2 linked regions of the Callithrix jacchus genome follow. The protein of the gene in region 1 interacts with the protein of each later gene in a biochemical or structural test. Links are inferred from orthologs where the notes say so. Each region holds a gene or a part of one and is shown on either strand. Other genes may lie near its edges.

Region 1 (4,281 bases):
AACCCCAGCTACTTGGGAGGCTGAGGCATGAGAATCACTTGAACTGGGGGAGGTGGAGGTTGCAGTGAACCGAGACTGCACCACTGCACTCCAGCCTGGGCGATACAGCAAGACTCCATCTCAAAAAAAAAAAAAGGAACCTGTCATTCATTCTATAAATGTCTTATTGAGTTCCTTCTATGAGGAGGGAACTTCATGAGTTTGTGAAGCTGGTGGGGGAGCAGAGAGCTAAGTAATTGCTATAAAGTTTCTGACAGCAGAGAAACCCGAGTATTTTAGAAGGCTTGGGAAGGACTGTCGATATTGAAGAGTTAGAAGACCCTTATCAACAAAGCATTCTAGACATGCTCATTCATATCATCCAACTTCTTTTTGAACCAAAATCCTGGTCAAAATGGTTAGCTCACGACTCTAGAAATCTTGAGTGCTATTTGCATCCCTTACTAACGTTGGCTTGCCTACAAAATGTGTTTAATGGGTTTGTGGGCATCAAAATACTTTGGAGGTGCAGGCCAGAGGAATATGCTGTTCTCAGTCTCAGATGAGCACAAAAAGCCTAGGGGAGAGAAGTGTTCCATGAGTCTAAAAGCACAGGTAAGTTAGGGCTGTCCATTCCCCATCCAGTCACTCTGCCACAGAGCGTGGGGTGTCTCTCTGAACCGTTATGGGAATGAGAATGCAGCAGTAAGCAAGACAGATTAGTCTCTGACTCCAGGTGCTCCAGTAGAGACCACAAGGTAATTAAGGAGAAATTAAACAGATAAAGAAGGAGTACACAGTGGGGACTGCAGGGAGGCTGCAGAGTGAGGGGACCTGAGAGAGAGCATGCATTTTCAGAGCGTGACCATGGAAGGCTTCCTGAGGCCGTGTGAAGAGTTGGGAGGCAGCAACACAGATTCCAGTGCTAGACAGCGAGCTCAGCCAGGGTGGCTGGGGGCAATGGCCTGGTGGTCTGAGAAAGCAGAGGCTGGAACAGCTGGGGCTGTGAGCAGAAGGAGGTCTCCTGGATTGCACGCCAATTGCAAGGAAAAGCTACTGAAGGATTCCATAAAGAGGACTGATATGGTCTGATTTACCCATTTAAACACACACACACACACACACTCGCGTTTATGTGGGGAGGGGGAACTGTAATCCTACAAGAAAGAGATGCTGGTACTCTGGAGAAGGGGCGGGGGGCAGGCCGCCCCCTTTTTTAGGGGACGAGCCAGGTGTGGTGGCTCATGCCTGCAATCCCAGCACTTTGGGAGGCTGAGGTGGGCAGATCATAAGGTCAAGAGATTGAGACCATCCTGGCCAACATGGTGAAAATGCATCTCTACTAAAAACACAAAATTTAGCTGGGCATGGTGGCACACATCTATAGTCTCAGCTACTCGGGAGGCTGAGACAGGAGAATTGCTTGAACCCCGGGAGGCAGACAGTTGCAGGGATCGTGCCACTGCACTCCAGCCTGGTGACAGAGTGAGATTTTCTCAAAAAAAAAAAAAAAAAAAAAAAAAAGGAAAAAGGAGAAAGACCAGGACACATTTTAGAGGTGGATCCAATGGACGGAATGTTTTTGATCTGAGCACCTGAGTTGACTGTGAGGCCACTCCCAGAGACATTGACATTTGGGAGACATTGACATTTTGGCTGACCACAAAACCTCCTTTAGGAACAAATTAGGTGTGAGGTTAGTTTGTTGTTATTTTTGCTTGCAGGGCATAGGCAAAGATGAAGAAAATCAGGTCATAAGAGGCATTTAATGTTAACGTTTTCCAAAATTGTGCATATTCTTGCTGTCTCTTTAACGTCTGGGCGTTCTGATACTCTGTGAGTGAGTGGCAAACTCTAAAATGAGTGTAGGCAGTGAAAGGGTTTGCTAAAAGCTGAGTGCCCCTGTTTCTCTACCTGTTGCAGGGGATGTGTTTGTGGGAGAAAAACTTCGTGGCCTCAAACTGTGAAGGGGTAGGCTGAGATGGCCACAGCGGTCCTCAAATTCTCCACCATCATCTCCCGCTGACCCCGGCCTTCCTAGGCTTCCTCCCCTGCGTCCCTGCCTGCCTGGAGGGTCCGCTGTAGGCTGCGGAGACCATGGTAGACATAGCAATGGTAACGCTATCAGCCAGAGAATATCAACCAAGGAGGCTGAAGCCTCGCTGCGCCACTCCGCAGCACAAGGACGCCCCGGAGCAGCGAGAGACTCCTGGGGAGTCTCTTGCCAACACCCTGGCACATGCACACCCGGGCGCTTACACTCCAGCAGCTCCTCGATAAGGACGGGGTTTGCTCCAAAGGCAGAGGAAACATATGGACGCCCTGGTGTATTTCCCTACTTGTTTCTTGCCTCTGCTTCCCTGCGTTCCCGACCCCGTCCGGTACAGGGTTTGGGGGCTCACGGCTCCGGCCCCGCAGACCCGCCTCCCACAGGCTGCCTGGGCTCCGGGCGTGGCGGGAGGCAGCAGGGGCGTCAGACGGGGGTCGCCCCACGCCCTCCGCGCCCCTCGGGCTGCGGCCCCTGAGCAAGGGCCACCCCTGCCGGACCACGCGGCCGCCTGGAGCTCAGGCCCGCGGGCAGGCAGAGGCCAGGGCTTCCCGCGGACGCGTGGCGCGGGCCCAGCTGGGTTCCTGGCCCGGCCGCAGGAGGCAGCCAGGCCCCCGGGGTGGCGGGGGCGCAGGCAGGAGCAGCACTTACCTGCGGCGGCTGCGGGGCCGGGGTGCGGGCGCTCCGGGACTCGGGGCCGGGCTTGGCACTCCCACCGCCGTCTGCCCCCCGCGCCTCGGGCCGCGCGCCGGGGCCGGGCCCAGACGCACTTCCTCAATCCTGAGGCCGGCGGGCGGGGAGGGCGGGCGGTGCGAGGAGCGCGCAAGGCAAGGCCGCCGCCGGCTCTCCCCAGAATGGGCGCGAGGCGTCCCCTCGGTGGCCGCCTCAGTTTCCCTAGCCATACAACGCAGGCTATCACCCCCACTGCTGGTGTCCCGGGAGACGCCGGGGCCCGCGGGCCCTTCTAGTACCAGGTTCGGGCACCCGGCTCCTTCCACGAGGGGCAAGCGCGGCGAGGAGATTGGTCGGTGCGGCGCTCAGCCCCGCTTTCACTATCCTCTGCTCTAGCGGCAGCCACCTCGGCAGAACAGCCCCTCACTTGCATGGGGCCCGTAGACTCTGGCCGTAGAAATAAAAAAGACAGGGAATATTCATTTGTGTGCCGCCCTTTACAAGGCAATATAGAACACAGTTCTAAAGCGTTAACGATTTGCAATTTACACAACCTCCATTACGTGGATTTTACTAATTCAATTATGGATGGATGCAAAGATTTTGCGGTTTGGTGAATCACGTTTAATTGTCGGCTTTGGGGGGAATACATAAAACTGGAAAAGTTGGCGATGTATCGTGTTTCAACCTATTCTGAAGGAGGCGTCAGGCTGCTGGGGCTAATCCCGGAACGCAGACAATAAAGATCGGCGTCCACGCTGTAGGTGGGCCTCCCCGTGAACTCCACGTGTCCACCCAGGAAAATGGCCTGCTCGGGAAAAGCAGAGGGTTCCCCGCCCTCCAGGACCGGCGCCCTGTAGACGCGTCTCCTGGAATGTTATGACTCGCATATTCCCAGGATTTAGTTCCAATCTCCCCAACCCTCATTGCCAAGTCACAGCACCCGGGCAGCTGCAGAGCCCCCACACCACCTCCCGAACACCGCGGGGCCGTTTCCTCGAGCGGCCCCTTGGGTCCCTGTTTGGCGAGGGGACCACTGAGCAGCTTTGCTCTGCTCCCAGCAGGCTACTCCTGCCACTGGGCGATCTTCCCAAAGGGTGAGCGCAGTTCTGCCATCCTGTGCTCACCCCGGAGGGCCTCACACCAGTTTGCGGGAGCCCGCGTGTGATTGCTACCGATAAGCTCCCAATAATTGCAGGGCGTGGCGTCCTCGGGTCTGAGTGGGCCCCGCGACGGCGGCGCAGCTCCTCCAGGGCGCGCAGCCGGCCACCTGGAGCCACCGCGAGGGAGCGCAGGCCCAAGGCCCGGGCAGACGCTAGGGGGAACGCGGCCGATGCAGACAGGGCGCCTCCGCTTCCCTTCAAAATGAGCTTGGGAATAGGCTAGGAAGATACATCGCCAGCATTCCTTGTTTTATGTATTCTCCCCAAAGCTGACGAGAAGGATTCACCAATCAGCAAAATCTTTGCATCCACCCATAATTGAATTAGTAAAATCCAGGTGACGGAGAACGTGCAAATTGTACGTAGTTAACATTTGACACAGATGACCTGTATTGAGCTCGTTATATCCCCAGCATTTAA
Region 2 (2,271 bases), on another chromosome or scaffold:
GCCCAAATTAAGTCCCATGCTCATGACAGAACCAATCACGTGTGAGAGGTGGGGTTGGGGTGGGGGCTAAGTATTACCATGAGAGCAATCAGACCCACCACTAGATCAGAGGAAATGTGTGTGGCCAATTCCTCTGAAATCCGTGTCTCATGGGGGAGGAATGGATGTCTGGAAAGAATTGGCATCTCCTTGGGATAGCATGCAGGGTAAGATCCAGCAGTGTCCACTAGAGGACCCCTTTCACATAGGGCATGTGGGAGAAGCCAGGCACCCTGAGCTTGAGACAGAGTCGCGCTCAGTTCTCATGTCCTTTCCTGGGATAGTGAGTGAAGGTATGTGTGTGTGCGCACGTGTGTGCAGGAGGGAGGACTAGGGGATCGTTTGGACCCCCAAGGCTTCTATCTTCCCCTGTTGGTCTCTCCAACCCCGCACATCAGTCCCCACTCCAATGTGAAGAAAGGCAGCAAGCTCAGGAGAAGGACTCAGACTTGAGCCTTTCCTTATTGTTAGCATTTTATTTGAGTAGTGGACAGCTCTATCGTGTCAAATCTAGTACTTTGAGCCCTTGGATTTGCTGTTTTCTACATATTTCTCTTCCAGTGCTTTCTGCAAGTTCAGGTTCATAGCATTTTTCCGGTGCCACCGACCTACAGAGAGCAGGAGAGGAGCCAGCACAGATCAGATCATCCAGCAGTCTCGGGAGTGCCCAGGTGATGACTCATACCCCTTCCAAGACCACCCCTGGGCTCTGTCTCCTGCTCTGGTTTCTCTCTGAACCGTAGAGCCAACACACCCTGCCCATGGAGGACAGTTCCCACCTCCCATCACCCGCAGCTCCCCACTTACCCAGGTCATCCGTCTTCCTGCCATGCCACTGTTCTAAGTCCCGCACTGACTTCTCAATGACCTCTGGGGTGTAGGAAGCCTTCATGAGGCTCTGTGTCTCCTCGGGAGCCCCTGTGGAATACCATGAAGAAACCCCAAGTGCCCAAGTCAATGGCGATCGGATACTCCACGGTTTATATTGGGTGTCAGTTTCCTCTACAGATGGTAAATTGTGGAAGGGAAGGGGAGTGGGAAGGATTTTAAAGTAAAGCCAAACTCCATCCTTTATGGGCAGTATGACCTCAGAGAAGTTTTTAACCTCTCTCAGTTTTGGTGTCTTCATCTATAAAAAAAAAATGAGATTTTCTTACATGACTGGGAAGACAAAATTACTGGGCATACATCAGGGCATCTAGCAAGTGGAAACTAATACCTGTAACTTAAGCAAACTTGTCTCTATGTTCAAAATTCAAACACCCACAAGCAAATACGTTGCAAGGATCAAGAGTCAGCAGAAATGCCAGAGGCTAACTCTCCCAAATTAGCAAAGATTTGAATGATCAGACACAGAATACAAAATAAGTATATTTAATGTTTGAAGCCGTAAGAGAGAATAAAAGTATAAGTAAGGAATAAGAAACCATCCAGAAACAGCAGATAGATTAGTAAGAGAACAAACAGAATTTCAGAAATGAAACATATGATAATTGAAAAAATTAAACTCCATGGATAATAAGATGCCCGGGCAGCAAGCTCAGGAGAAGGAGCTTTAAATAATCTTGGGTAGGAGTGGATGGGTGGGAGAAAAGATGAAACAAGATCGCCTGTGTATTAATCACTGTTGAGGCTGGGTGGTGTGTGCAACATCTATTCATAAACTAAGTTCTTTTCTTTTCCATCAGTTTGAAAATTGCCATCATAATACTTTAAAAATAAATTCTATGGACAGGTAAAATGGCAGATCAAATACAGCTGAGAGAAAGTGGCAAACTGGAAGATATACCAGAATAAATGAACGTTAGGATGCAATATAAAGAAAAGAATATGGGACCGGGCGCGCTGGCTCACGCCTGTAATCCCAGTACTTTGGGAGGCCGAGGCGGGTGGATCACGAGGTCAAGAGATCGAGACCATCCTGGTCAACATGGCAAAACCCCGTCTCTACTAAAAATACAAAAAATTAGCTGGGCATGGTGGCGCGTGCCTGTAATCCCAGCTACTCAGGAGGCTGAGGCAGGAGAATTGCCTGAACCCGGGAGGCGGAGGTTGCGGTGAGCCGAGATCGCGCCATTGCACTCCAGCCTGGGTAACAAGAGCGAAAACTCCGTCTCAAAAAAAAAAAAAAAAGAATTTAAACTTCAGCCTCTGACTGGCAGGGTTTAAATCTCGACTCTAACCATTCCTACCTCTGTGGCCTTAATTAAGTTATTTAATTTTTCCATGTCT

What was found.
Region 2: the proteins of LRRK1 (region 1) and CIMIP4 form a complex in vitro, tested with the Homo sapiens proteins (2 studies listed by BioGRID and IntAct, with this or other methods). The link is inferred for Callithrix jacchus from reciprocal best matches to the Homo sapiens genes LRRK1 and CIMIP4.

What each region holds. Positions count from the first base shown.
Region 1 is NC_133507.1:9,061,650-9,065,930, forward strand, and holds the start of LRRK1 (leucine-rich repeat serine/threonine-protein kinase 1), read right to left. Parts: upstream 2,801-4,281; 5' UTR 2,678-2,800; intron 1-2,677.
Region 2 is NC_133502.1:207,893,173-207,895,443, forward strand, and holds the end of CIMIP4 (ciliary microtubule inner protein 4), read right to left. Parts: intron 958-2,271; coding exon 847-957; intron 648-846; coding exon 550-647; 3' UTR 501-549; downstream 1-500.